Linked DNA regions of Drosophila melanogaster. The protein of the gene in region 1 interacts with the protein of each later gene in a biochemical or structural test. Each region holds a gene or a part of one and is shown on either strand. Other genes may lie near its edges.

Region 1 (7,535 bases):
CCATCCATCGAATGCCATTTTCCATTTTCTGTGGCGTTCCATGGGTTGCAGGTCGCGAGGCCTTTTGGCACTCGGGCGACATTTGACTTTGCTCAATTACGTTCGATTTGTGCTGTATTTGGCATCTTTTATAGTTTATTTAACGAGCCTGTTTATTGTCATTTTGTGGACTGCTTGGCTCCGAAATTTGGGAGAAGCGGGTCCCAGCCTAATTGCTTTGCTACATATGTTTGGTGTTCCAGATTGGATGGGTTGTCGACAGCTCCATATTGATAAAAAAAAATATAATTTGATCAAGAAATATAAGTAATTATTCAAGAATTTGAAAGAAAAATCGGTGACGCATTTTAAGGCTTTAGAAAAACGGAATGTTTCATTCTCCCCAAAGTTACAAATCGAAATGTTTTCCAAGAATTGGTCTTAATAGGTCCCGGAGCGTATTTAAATTATATTCTCCAGATCGCAATAAATATATTTAAGATGTTACGCACTTTTTCAGACGAATTAAAGTAAAAATTCCACTATATAAAAAACTCGTATATAAACTATAACTTTAAAAAATATTTAAACTTGTAACGTTCTTCTGATTGGAATATGGTTATTATTTTTTATCATTGGAAAAGATAAAACAAAATTCTTTTCGAGTTCATAAACATAGAGTCTTATCTTTTTTAACTCATAATAATTATTTAAAATTCTACCAAAGAACTAATAGTTTTTGTTCTTATCTATCTAGGAATGTTGGGGTTTTACAAAAATGAAACTTCTACGACGTTTATTTGCCAACTAGTCAGTTTGAGTTAGCAATTGTTTCTTGATTGTTTCACGTAGCCATATCACTCGACGGCACAAGGGCCGGCAAAGTGGCAAACAAACGAGCATCGAACGTTTCCTCAATAGCCTTTCCTTTCGGCTTGAAAATTATGCCTCAAGTGGCGGTTTCTTCAAACTTCCGCCAGGAGGCGCCACTCGAGAGGCACAGTGCTGTGGTGAAGTATGCAGCCACACCCAGGACATGTACACGTTTCCTCTCGCTCCCTTCCGTCCGGTGCCGCTGTGTCCATTGTTTCGTTAGTGTTTCCTGGCCGCCATTCGATGCTTCCGCCTGCCATTCGTCTGCCCCTCGACCTGCCCCCGACTCCGGCTTCTGGGCACCACCCCCTGCAGAGAGAATCGCCCATACCGTCGCACTTTCAATGTTGCAACATGGCTGCAATACACTCCCTCCTCGGCACTCCTCGCTACTCGACTCTGCTCCTTGTTGCTTGTTAGGGCGTTTAAAAGTTTTGCCTGATTGCACAGAACAACAGCGAGCAACTGTGTGGGAAGTAATGGGCCTACACAGCAAACAAAAACGGGTTACAGAGCAGGGGAATATGTATTAACTTGAGAAACTTGTTCCAAAAAAAAAAAAAGGCATCTATCTTAACTAAGTCATATAAGAAGTACTTTGATCTGGTTTATTTTTGGTTTAAGCATTAAATGTTTTGTAAACTTTATATCTTTAACTTTTGGTTTGTTTGAATGCTGCTTTAAGTGCATCCACGATATGGAGATTTTGCTTGTTTTTCGCAACATGTTTGTGTACAATGTTAAAGTGAAAGAGAAATTCCCGTGCATATTGCAGCTTTGTCCTTTTTCTGCCTGACTGCATCCCTATCTCGTTTTCGGGGGCAAGTCAAAGTCAATGGGATTAACTGACATTTCGGTGTCAGTGGCGCAACCAGGTTAACAAACACTGCACCTCGAAACCATGCTACATGGTGCACACCCGCCCACTGGCACACACGTGCAATTGTTTCAATGTCAAGTGGCGTCGATTGCCCTCATCTTTTGGCGGATGCAGACGCACTTGGACAAAATCTAAGGCTAAGGCTAAGGCTGCAGCTGCAGCTCACAGATGCACTCGACGATGAGATTCAGGCTGATGCAGGATAGAGATGACAGCAAAGACAATATCTACATGATGATTTTTTAGCATCTTTAAATTCTTAAGCTATGTTCAGATAATTTGCACTGTTTTCTTAGATTTGGCTAATTCTAGTCATTATTTTATATATTTTTTAAAAACATTGTAATTATTTCATCACTATCGAACTGTTTGGTACTGAAACCACTTTAATCGGACCGAGTCATCCGCAGGCCACATGGCTCCTCGAAACTGTTTAGGTTTTCACACTCGCCTGCCACGAGGGCGGATGCAACTGTTGCTGCTGCCATTGTCTAAGATGTTGCATGCACAGTGGTGCATGAGTCCATTTTATTTTCGGATATCCATGCCACATGCAACACCCAAAAGTTGACCCAAATTACTTCGGTTTCGCCTTGGCCAAAAAAAACACGCTAAAAATAGTTTTGTCATGGAATCGATTCATCAGCACTCAAATAGAGTGGAATAACCTTGAGTTCGATTCCTTTTGTGGGGCAACAAGTCATTACATTTAATTTAAATAACCAGTCAGTACATACAAAAATCATAGTTTTTGAATTTACTTTTATTCCAGTCTTTGAATCTTCTAAAAAATGTGAACTCTGATATAAGCCTTGATGGAAATTGAAGAGCAGCTAATCCAAAATTGCGTCCAGTACATCCAGCATTTCCGCCGCAGAGTAAAAGTGTGTGCAATAAATATCCCCCTATCTATCGGCACATAAAACCGAAAATAAAATTTTCCAAGTGCCCCGGAATCTGGCGGCCGATAGATAAACCAGCAATTTCCACCAAAATAGAACGAACAATAGAGTCGAGTCGAGTGGAAAGGTAAACGCTGAGCAGGATTTCCATTTCCGGTGAGAAAAACCCAAGTGGAAAAACGAGAAAAAGCGACGAAAAGTGCACTTACCCAGCAGCAGGAGCTTGATGTCCTTGGCCGCCTGGATTCCATCCTCCTTTAGATTCTTCTCGATCTGTTTGGATCGCTGGATGGCGGCGCGTTCTTCGGCGGATGTGGTGCAGCCCATTGTGGTTGGGTTTGGATACTGATTTGGATTCGGATTCGGATTTACACGGGGCTTTTCGGTTTTCGGGCTTTTGTTTTCCAATTTTCCTGGACTTTTTTCTTTATGTCTTATTTGCTTATGTACAGTTTAACGATTTCAACTGAAATGGAGTATTGAACCCATCAACAATAACAAATACACGGGTCAGCGGATGATTCACTATAAACAGTGCGCGATCGATAAGGCGAACCAATGAATATCAAGGATGTGTTAAATATACAGCCGAGTTCAAAATAATAATGTTGAGTTATCTTAAATTAATTTTGTCTGCTGTGTATAAACACAAATTGTAATTGTAATTGTAATATTCTTTCTGTTACTCAACTATTATGAGAAACACAGCTGTATATTAATTTGTATGTAATAGTTAAAAAGATTATTTTAAACTGATGTTACAAGGTTTATGGAACACATCGTTCGCTCTATGGATGTTGTACTGTACTGAGACAAGCACTAATTTTATGACCGCCACTGTCTGTGCAATGGGCCGCGCACTGTATCAATTATGTTGCTTTTGTTTTTTATCAGCAGACGCAAAGTAAAAATAAAAGCAATGATAGCCAGCTAATTTGCATATGGAGCATGTTTGCGATATCGATACAAAATTCATCAATCGCGCTGATAAGATAAATCCATCAGATAATGCTGGATCGCGATAAGAACGATGGTAATTTATCATGTAAGTGAATTAGTCTCGAGGTCAAAGAGCCAAAAACTCAAGCTTATTTTTTGGATACCACTTATTTTTTGTTGTCACACTTTTAATAAAACTTTTATAAATTTTGTTTGTTTTTTTTTTTTTTTGGTTTTATTTGTATGTTTTTTATGCAGTGTGTATGTATTAAGCGTGGGCGTAGGCGCTAAAAAAGCGCCGGGTTGGTGGAAAAAAAGGCGGTGGGTTGTGGAGTTTTCTTTTTCGAGCGTTTGCCTAAGCACATTAACATATGCAAAAAGTAATGCCGTTTTTATGCAAACTGTTAACCATTTCGGATGTATAAATTTTCATTTAGTTTGTCGCTGTTTCACTCACACGCGCGCACACACTCACTCACTCACACGCACGCACTACGCACTCTCACGCGCTGCACACGCCACACCCCCCGCCCACTGGGCCGCCACCCACCACCCCACGAGTTTTCCTTTTCCTTTTTTTCAGCTTTTTTCAGCTTCACATTTACCACCGCCTAGTTTTCCAGTCGTATACACACCGCACTAGTGTATGCGTGTGTGTGGGTCTGCTTCAGCCTGCTGTGTGCGTGTGTGTGCAGGAGGCTCTCTTTTGCGTTTGGCTGTTCTTATTGGTTCCGTTCGCTTTGCGCTTCTTTTTCGCGACTCGCTGTATTTATTGCACCGATCGTGATAGTTTACCGTTGCACTTGCCGAGCACTTGCACTTGTATTTTTGGCCGCAGTGATATTGGTAAATTGCACTTTTCTGGTGTGCGAAAATTTAGCTGCTCTCTCTCGCTTCGTTCGCTCTTTCCAACTGCAGAGCGAGGCGTTCGAACAGCTGTTGGCGGCGTCGGTGCGCAGCACTGGACGCGGCGGGGGTGGCTGTTGACCAGCACTGGCCGCAACAACAGCTGCTGCAAAACAAGCTTATATTTAAAAATTTAAATTTGTTAAAATCTTCCGCTATTTATATACATATAATTTAATAAAATGTTTTATATAAATATGAAAGAACATGCTCACTTTAGTTTCAATAAATATTTTGCATCACTTTGTATGTACAGACATTTATTTTTTTATTATGTTTTGAAACTTATCTGGATTTTAAATAGCAGGCCACTCAAAAGGATCTCATGAATACAATATTTGAGCTTTAAGTGATACAAATAGAGATATATTTTTTATTTATATTATTGCAAATAATTATTAAAAATTCGCATACCTTTCATAACAATTGCAGTGCATATTCTCCCAAATATATTCATATTTAAAATAAAACAACTATTTTAATTTAAATTCGCCTGAGGTTTGAACGGTTAAATAAAATAAATGATTAATTCAACAAAGTGTGCACTTTCCAGCACTATTTATAGCAACAGCCGATTATTATAGCAGGAATCTATCGATTATACTTAACTTTCTTAGCCAACACTGTCGTTATATCATTGTTTTGGTCGTTTCCTAAAATGTTGCGGCAATTTATAGTAAGTTTATGGCCCCAAATGTAGTAAAATATAATTGATTGCTTAATTGGACACAGGTATCTACGGTAGGCCGTCGCCTGCAACTACCTATGATGGCCCAAAGTCGCCTCGCCAGCAATTTGGACAAAACTGAGTACACAACACCCGGGGAAATTGTGGACTACGATGATCCGCCGCATTTGCCAGTTCCGGAATATCCTGTCCGTCCCGATGAGCCGCTGGAAACTCGCAAGCAGCGGTATACGCTTAAAATGAAAATATCCCAAACTCCTACTTATGATCATTCATTATCTTGTGCAGCCTTTTGTATCAAAGCAGGAAACGCGGAATGCTGGAAAACGATCTCTTGCTGAGCACTTTTGTGGCCAAGCATTTGAAGGACTTCAATGCCGAGCAGACCGCCGAGTACGATCAGTTGATCAATGGTGTCAGCAACGACTGGGATATATTCTACTGGGCCACCGATACCAAGCCAACACCTCCTCAATTCGATACCGAAATAATGCGTCTGCTAAAGGAGCACGTCAAAAATCATGAAAAAGTGCAAAGGATAAGGCAGCCGGATTTGTGAACATTATAAACTATATTATATATATAAGCATACAAAACAATGTATTAAATGAATGTGTTATTCTACTCCTGATCCTTAAAAGACCAATGACTTGAACTTGCATTTTACCTGGTATTTAAAAACGATCATTTATACGGAATAATAAATAATACGGTTGCAAGTGATTTGGTAATTTGAATGTGCTTTCATTTTTATTTTTATTTGTTGAAAACTTCAGCTTAATCAACAAATCATGACATTTGAAAAGATACAATTTTAATATATAAAACTGAACACATTGTCAGAATGGCATATATTTAATCCAATTTGAACCCCCTTTAAAACACAGTTCTCGCTTTCCTGAAATACACATCCATACAATATATTTAAACGATTATCCAGTTAAATTCTATTCATGTTTGCCGAATGTGTGTATGACCAATCTTGTATATATAGATTAAATTTTAATACGCTTAAACACTATAGCGAAACATTACACTTAAAATGTTCATTTGCTTTTGCTTAGTCTTGCCACAAGACACGGGATGGCGCGGAGTCCATCGAAAATCGCTGAAAACACGGAGAATTAAAACGCGAATGTCTACCAGTTAACTATGGATTCGGTTCTATATTAACATGCTAAGGAGATGATTGAACAGCTTTTGCTCCAGGCTAGTCCCTTCACTATCAATTCTAGATTATATTTTGGTGTGTGATTGTTGTGTTTCGGGCGGTGGAAGCGAAAAACAAAGGGCTAATTCAATTTCAAGGGTCGTGTCGCAGCACATTTCGCAAATTTAATTATACATCATAATATTACACACTTTATGCTTAGAGAGGCTATATAAAATATATGTTAAAAGTTATTAAAAATCACGCCAAATCAAAGGCCGCCAAACGCATAGCATCTTTAGCATAATCGAACAATTAAAAGAACGGCGATTAGTTTTAAATAGGCGCACTGAAGCCGGTTGCGCAGGTAAAAAAGAAAGAGAACGGAAGTAACAACAAAATTTAACCTACTGCAAATTGTAAATAATCTAAATTTAGTCCAGTGTCTCGAAGAAGTCCTGCGGATCGACGAACATCGATGGGCTGCTGTTTCCGCTCAAGATTTCCGCTTCCTCCTCCTCCTGGCGAGCCGCCTCCGCTTCCGCTTCTTCCGCCTCCTCCTCCGCTGCCGCTGCTGCAGCCGCTGCCGCCGATGAAGATGAGCTGACCCCGCTCCTGCGACGACCCCGACGCACTGGTCCCGTGCCCGTGCCCCCGCCCACCGATGCCACAGCTGCCGACCGGAGCGTACTGCCCGTCATCACGGGATCGTAGGTCCGCGACGACGGGGCATCGGTATTGCTGGACAGGGAGGATTTGCGGCGACGTTTGTTACGCCGCCTTCGGCGTCGTTTGCTGGTCTGAACTGCCACGGCAGCCGTTGATGTGGAGGGCCCAGATCCGGTTCCGGCGCTGCCCAACGGTTCCGTAAGCACACTGGTTCGCGGCAGGGTCAGCGTGGTCTCGAACATCTTCAGCAGCGTCGGGGAACTGGGTCAATTTTGCGGGAACACATCGTCGATGGTAATGAAAGCGTCCTCGCCCAGCGAGTGCTGTCCGATCACCTTGATCAGCTCCGAGGCGTGAGCCACCAGGTATTCCAGCGGCGGACGACGCTCGAAGTTCAGGGACTCTGCATAATCATAGTAATTAGTAACTTCGTTTCGAGACAAGTGTTTAAAGACTTACCCAATATGGCCGAGTTGAGTGTGGTGGAAACACTCTCACGTCGCGAGGGACACAGCAACCAGCCCAGCGGACTGGACCAAGGATTAGAGT
Region 2 (7,302 bases), on another chromosome or scaffold:
AATGTGGGTAAAAACAATTTCCGAAATCGCGACAAGGACGGCGACTTAGGACCCACAAAAAGTGTGGGTATGATAATGCCACAAAAAAAAAAAAGAGTATATTCTAAGATGTCAGGGGTGAAAGTTGGCATTCCAGTGAAAATTGCGTATTTTCCTATTAATTTTCCAGTGAGACGTTTACGAATTAAATCCCTAAGCGGATAGAATGGCGGATTTTCATCAGGTGCAGCTGGATGTCATAGACACAAAGCTTGCTATCAGCATAGTTTTACTGCTCTTTACGGTTCACTGCGATTCAGTGAAGCGAAAATATTTACTTTTTTGTTGAAATATTGATGACATTGGTCAGATTTACCATTTGAGCACACACAAACATGAATGCGAGCAGTGAACTTTGACACTTTTGTACATATATGGAAAAAATTCAATCAAAGTTTTCCATTTTATTACTGTATATTAATAATATTCTTTAATATACGATCCAATGAAATGCTTTCATGAGCCCCAATTATAATCAAATAACAAAACACTTAGCAAACAATGGTGACATTAATAAATTCACAGGACATTCATCAATCAAAAATCAGTTCGATCGATATTATTAACCCTTAAATACATTAAACTTTCGGTAATGACTGAGGTGCTTCCGTCGATTCCCATCTTCGAGGGGACATAATTTATTGATTTATGTATTCAGTCCATTTGGGAAATTAGGTTTCAATCATTTCCAATTGATTTCTTCGTCGCAATTGAGAAACTTTTCCTGCCAACTTTCAGCAGCAAAATAGTTGGACAAAACAGGCGAAAAGTCGGTTGGTATGGGAATGCAAAATGCTCGGCATCTCCTAGTGGCTAACAAAATCCACTGCCAAACTAATTTGTGGCCAAAACTATGTGAGAGGCGAGCAGGAATGAAGCATGTGCCAAAATAATACAATAGAACCAACTGAAACTTACTTGGGCTTAGTTGAAAAGAAAACTTTCGCTAGCCAAGAAATTAAAGTGAAGTAGGAACTAGACTTCTGGACAATTTACGAGCTCCCATGGGATCGCCAACCGTTTTGGTAACCATGTATATAGCACATATATAGTATGTGCGCGTCGAGTCAGTTTGGCAATATAAATGACGATAAATTAATTATCGGCCGATCAAGTCATTGTCGCCATTAATTATGGGCCCACGATGCACGGCCCAACGGCCTTTTAATAGTTTTTCACACGCCCACGGGACTCAGGACCTTCGGCAATTAGGATGTGAGGTAGATGGATGTGAGGTAGATGGAGATGAGGAGATGAAATGAAATATGGCGTGAATGGGCCGAGGTTTTATGACAATGTTTGCTGCCTGAATAGCGCGGCAGCATCGTCTGGGCCATGAATTTAATGCGCTGCAACAGTTAATGATTTTATTGGCACTCCAGTCGCAACTTGGCCACATCTTTGGGCAGAGACCGGGAATCGGGGACAGCGGATTGGTGTTAGAATCCTCGTAAACAGTCGGGCTGGAATTTATGACTTGGTCTCATGAATATAATCAATGTCAAGAGCGACGCCAAGTGTCGTCTGGGGATCGCACTTGCCGCGCTCTCGAATCCATTCCCCGCAAGAAATCTGAGTGCCCTGACCAGACGCAGACGAATCCGGATGAGCCGTAAACGAAGACGGGCAAATCGCTCGCCTGGCTTAAATGGCATTTCAATTTGGCACTTCCGTTTCCGCAACATCCCACCCCCATTGCTTTCTATTGGCTTTCTATTCTTTGTCCGTAATGTCCTTGCCAACATTTCAATTGGTTCAACACTGGCTGACTGGGGTCACTTCTGCAGGTCTTGCTACGGATAATCCTTAAACATTTCAGCGTTAGAACTTCGAACACTTCGATCCGTTTACCAATAACATTTTACATTTCACTCGAGCAATTTAACTGCTGTTTTCGGGTTCAAAAACTAATTCAACAGCGGTTCTGGGTGCGCGCGTTCAACCAATGCGTTTGAAAGTCCCAATGTAACTGAAACGGCGTGGGCCAAACACAAATAACACGCTACGCAGATGTAAGCTCACCGGAAGGACTTTAAAGGACGAGCGTTCGGAGCTTTTATTTAAATCGAAAAGTAACTGACGGCAGTGGGATGTGACAAAAGTTCGTTGCTATGCAACGAAGGTCAGCCCAGTGTGGCAACGATTGCTTCATAAATTTCAATGAGTCTGGCAGCCCTGTTTTTATCTAATTCAAATTTGTAAATATCGTTTTTCTATCAATGGTCAATGCCTTCAATATTTGAACAAATCAAATTTTCTCTAGAACTGCTTGTTAAAAATTGTTGACATTCTGCAAAACTTTAACAGTAATTACTAAAAATATGGTGTGTCAAAGTGATCGATGTTTCACAAAAGGTATGTAATATCGATAGTATCGAGTAAACATTTTAGTGTGTTCCATCTCTAATCATAGTTACGCTTGCGCATTGTAGACATAATTTTAATTACCGATTTACACACAATTAATTGCTACAAATATGCCTGATAAAGTTACAACGATGTTATTAACCGCGTGAATATGAGGTAGCACCCAAAGAAGAGTTAGTTATCAATTAATTAGAGGCCTAGAAAAGTGTAACAAAATACGCCTGGCCATTGGTGCGCATGTGTGTGTGCCATTGATTACATAGTTGGCATAGGCGACGCACGGGTGCGAGCGAGAGGGGGCATCATCCAAAAAGGGGCGCAACAGAAACCGCATTCCATTTCCAGAAATCCAGGTTGCAGCTTCCATCCATGAGAAAGGTGCGTACAAATGTCCAGATGTGGGTTAAGATTGGCCAGTACTCCTCATCATTCGTTTTCTCCACACAGTAAGCGCCATGCACCACCATCATCCGCCTTTGCCCATAACCGGAGCAAGTGGCTCCACAGCCGTGGGAACGGGAGCAGCTGCAGCGGAGGATGCATCACCTGCTGCGAATAGTGGGCCCGCCCCCATAAGCACCTCAACCACGCCTTCGGGATCCAACAGCCAGCAGCATCAGCGACGTCGCAAGAAGCGAGCCAACTACAACTACAATGGCATCCGCACCGTGGAAGTGCGACGTGGTTACAATGGCTTCGGTTTCACCATTTCCGGGCAGCAACCATGTCGGCTGTCTTGCATCATCAGCAGCTCACCTGCCGAGCAAGCTGGCCTGCGTTCCGGTGACTTCCTCATATCGGTCAACGGTCTAAATGTCTCCAAGTTGCCACACGAAACAGTGGTGCAGCTCATTGGCAACTCCTTTGGCAGTATTCGCATGCAGATCGCCGAGAATTATTATTCCGACAGCTCGGATGAGGAGAACGCCCATGCCACGCTGAGGGGTCAATTGTTGGCAGCCAGTTTGAGGCACAAGCCCAGGTTTCTACACCACAAAGCCAAACTGCACAGATTGCGCAACTCGCCACAAAAGAAGCTAAACCCACCAGAGGCAGTGGAACCGCACAAATCAAAGTCATCACCCGATCACCCTACATTAAAACCCGTTCTGGAGGATCCGCCTCTGACAGCCAATCTATCCAAAGCAGCGGATGTGGCCAATGTAAGTGCCATGGTGCGAGCTGTGGGCAGTGCTGCACTGGAGTGCCGTGTTATTGTTGGCTATCTGGGAACCATCGAGATGCCCAAGCAGATCTCGCATAGTTCCAAGCTGCAGACAGTTCGATCTTGCATTCGAAAACTGAGACAGGAGAAGCGACAGCCCACCATTGTGCTGATGTGCATCACGCCGGACAGCTTGAGCCTGCAGAGTTCCAGCGGCGGAGTGCTGGCCACCTACTCCTCGGCCAGGCTGAACTTCGTGAGCTCTTCGTCGGAGAGCGAGAATCGATTCTTTGGTCTGGTCACTAGCGCCGTGCACAACACACAGATCGAGGAGGAGTACGAGCCGAGCGCTGGCAGCGCAGCAGCTGCTGGTCACATCAGTATCTCGCACAGCTGCCATGTCTTCGTCATCGACACCAAGCTGATCGAACATGCACAGCATTTGCAGCGGGCCCACGAGTTCCGCCTGCAGTGCACCCGGGATCCGATCTCGAATTTGTGTCTCGAGTTCCCTAACAACTCGGAATATGTGGTGAATCTCGTGCGCAGCATGTATACCATGCGGATTCTCCCACCGGCAAGTCGGAGTCATCAGGCAGACTATGAGGCGGGTGCAGGAGCCGCCGCAGCTGGAGGAGCAGTAGCAGCTGCCCACTCGCCGCAGCCATCGAACCACAGCGAGATCTCCACCACCACGTCCAATTCGGATTCGGGCATTGGCTTCAACAACGATTGTACGAATATTTCGGATCGCATTCTGGTTGTGGACTTCCTAGCTGCAGGAGCGGGAGCAGCGGCGGCGGCACATGCAGGACCACCAACTTATCCAGCTCCTGCTCGTCCACTGGGCATAGTGGGAATACCGGATAATCGACTGACTGTGCGGGCCATGCCCGATCATTCCGCCCTGCTAAGATCGCCGCCAGCGAGCTCTTCGCTTCGTCGACCCAATCTCCTGGCCAGCTTCAATCTGATCCAAAGTCCCGCCACGAATCTCACATCCACCCGCTCCTGTGATGATGTCCTTAATCTTTTTGTCGACGATTCACCGCGCACTTTGGCTGCCGTGGCCTCTATGGATGACATTTCGCTGCACTCGGCTGCTCCATCGCTCGATGAGGGCCACACGTTTGCCCATCCAGCGTGTGTGCCCCGCAAGATGCGCAGATCGTTGGCTCTGGAGACGCCAACAACGCCACACAAGCTGAGTGCCCAGGTATTTGGTCAACCTGGCTCGCGTCATTCGCTGGGCTTCGAAGCCATCGACAGTGTGCAGTCGTCGGTCAGTGGTGCATGTATGGATCAGACCATGGACACGTGGGCCAGCCTGCAGAATCTGCACAAATCGCACAAGGATCGGACCAGCATGTCCGCTTCCTCGTCCTCCCACTGCCTTTTAGAAGCTACGAACAGTGAACCTGATTTGGGGGTAAGTGGAGCATATCCTTTTGTTTATCCTACATGTATCATAAGTTTTTGAAATGATTGGGAATACCTATAATATAATCATAAGTGCATTTTATATCAAATCTAACCCATACAACCCTCGGCTTATGTGAACCGCTCCTGTGCGCGGGCAGAAATCTGTTTACCTGGACGCCGCTCCAAGTTACCTGCGTTCTCGGAGCTTATCGCCCCACACTGCTCCTCCTGCTCTCTGGGCCCACAGATAAGGGGCTCTTTCTCTCTCTCTAGTGGTCTGGTGGGCCATATATCGGCATTCCTTTGTCCGCTTACCCGGAGTTTTGGTAGTCACAGTTGGGCTTTGGCAATAGGTGGCCACGGTTCCGTTATCTACGATTCGGGTACGGACATCGCCGGATTTTAGTTACTATTTACGTCCAGGCCGTTACACTGCAGCTCCGATCGGTATTATCACGGTTTGGGGATTCGAACGCGTCATGGTTGATAAGGGCGGAAGTCGCTGGCTAAAAATAAAGTGCTCCGAGCCGAATGACGTCATGGGCGTAGGTCACGACTGAAGCCGATCACCAGTGGAGCTCCATCACGAGCGGCTGCCTCCGCCGTCGATTCCTCTGCCTCGAGCTTAATTCAATCTAAAGCAATTAATGGCGTCGATGTCGACTGACCTTTTCGCTCCTCCGATCGGCCCCCACATCCCAATCCTCCACAGAATTCACATCGGGTACTCGTAATTTAGTTTGATTTTCGATTTGACAACACGCGATTTTTTTGTACGATTTTTGTGCGATTCGGTCGTCCGTTTGCGGCGGTTTCACTTTCGTCTCGCTGTGCAGTTGCTGTTCCCTCGTGTATTTGTTTTATACTAAATACATAGTACACGATGTGGGCATATTAAAATGAAAATATAAATAATATAACCGTCTGTGAAAAAGTTGCTCCATAAAAAGTTCAACGCCAGTTCAAGGAGCTTCGTCAGCAGTTGTGACTGAAATAAATATAAATAAATTGTCATTACGATAAAGCAAGAACAAAAACACAAACAAAAAAATTGCAAGTGCAATTGTTTTGCACAGGCAAACAACAAAAGTGATCAGCTCGATGCAAAAATGTCATTTCGAGAACTCGTTTGTGGCCTGTACTCCGAGGAGAAGGAGATCGAGGTAAGCTGACAATATGTGATTTGTGGATATATCTCACACTTATCGCTGCCCACTTGATCGATGATACACCCTTCTCAAAAAGTTCAGAAAAAAAAACAGTGGGATCGAACTCTTATTATGCATAAGTCAGTAATTAGGCAGAGGTTTAAGATCGCTCGTGGAATAAATTTGACGTTACTGGTAACATATTTACTTTGTTTTATGCCTGGCTGGGAATTGTGTACGATTCACCCTTCTACATAACGAAATTCTCTATTTTCAATCCCCCTTAAAAGTGACTAAAGCAAACCACTATGTATCGTTTGGAATTAGTAATCTGCTTGTTTGCTCATTTCAGCACGTTCTTACGCCTTTGATATAGTATGCTCTATTTCTTTTCTCATGGTCGCAATCAGCAAACAAAGTTTCTTTTTGTTTGCCGTTCCATAAAACTGTGACACCTGGTGGTAAGGTGGTAATTATTATTACCTTGAGTGTGTGTGCTCTGCTTGAATAGACAGTGCTCAAAACTACTATCATAAATTAAGAATATTATACATACATATATAGTCTGGGATCTGAAACATTCAAATATTAGCACTTAGATAATCAAATCACACATGTCTATATGAAAATATTGATGCAGCACTTAGTAAACTCATCCATCATTTCTCTAACTGATAAAACAGTGATGCATGTACATATATGAAATGCTAATGGACGTAAATTACATAAATTAATTTAATTTCGTTTGTTTCTAAGCTAACTAAGAGTTGTGTTCTAAAGATTTCGAGGGAACGATAGCCAGCTGGCGACTAATGAGCAAGCATGTCAAGTGCACTTTTGTGACTTATTTTTAAGCCATATTATAGACACGCAATCGGGGACTTGTTTTATATCTAAGTTGGCCGGGTGTTCCAACAGGTTGACTCTGGTCTGACGGCATTTTGGCGGTAAGCCGTGTGGTTTTCCTACGAAAAAGGTGGAGTGGCACATGCCGTCACAGGTGCAAAAGAAAACAACCCTCGTGCTATAGGATATACAAAAAAGGAAAGGGAAAAAGGAAAGGAGCCGGAGTGACCCGCTAAATGAACGTTACTTTGCTTCCTTCCTGGCCGATGGATCGTCATGGGAAGTGAACTCTTGACTCTTGGCTATCTGGCAGGT

The links.
Region 2: of the proteins of Galphao (region 1) and loco, one has a biochemical effect on the other in vitro, tested with the Drosophila melanogaster proteins (one study listed by BioGRID).

The regions. Positions count from the first base shown.
Region 1 is NT_033778.4:10,434,940-10,442,474, reverse strand, and holds the start of Galphao (G protein alpha subunit o), read right to left. Parts: upstream 4,491-7,535; 5' UTR 4,369-4,490; intron 4,228-4,368; exon of another isoform or gene 4,124-4,227; intron 4,005-4,123; exon of another isoform or gene 3,983-4,004; intron 3,870-3,982; exon of another isoform or gene 3,738-3,869; intron 3,105-3,737; exon of another isoform or gene 3,101-3,104; 5' UTR 3,030-3,100; exon of another isoform or gene 2,962-3,029; coding exon of another isoform or gene 2,844-2,961; intron 1-2,843. Other genes in the region: CG12895 (uncharacterized protein), read left to right, coding at 5,138-5,155, 5,212-5,393, 5,456-5,726; RanBPM (Ran-binding protein M), read right to left, coding at 7,253-7,389, 7,446-7,535. UniProt on the Drosophila melanogaster protein: Guanine nucleotide-binding proteins (G proteins) are involved as modulators or transducers in various transmembrane signaling systems.
Region 2 is NT_033777.3:22,634,499-22,641,800, reverse strand, and holds the start of loco (locomotion defects), read left to right. Parts: upstream 1-2,413; 5' UTR 2,414-2,784; intron 2,785-2,853; 5' UTR 2,854-2,861; coding exon 2,862-5,000; intron 5,001-5,344; exon of another isoform or gene 5,345-6,102; coding exon of another isoform or gene 6,103-6,156; intron 6,157-7,302. UniProt on the Drosophila melanogaster protein: Acts as a regulator of G protein signaling (RGS).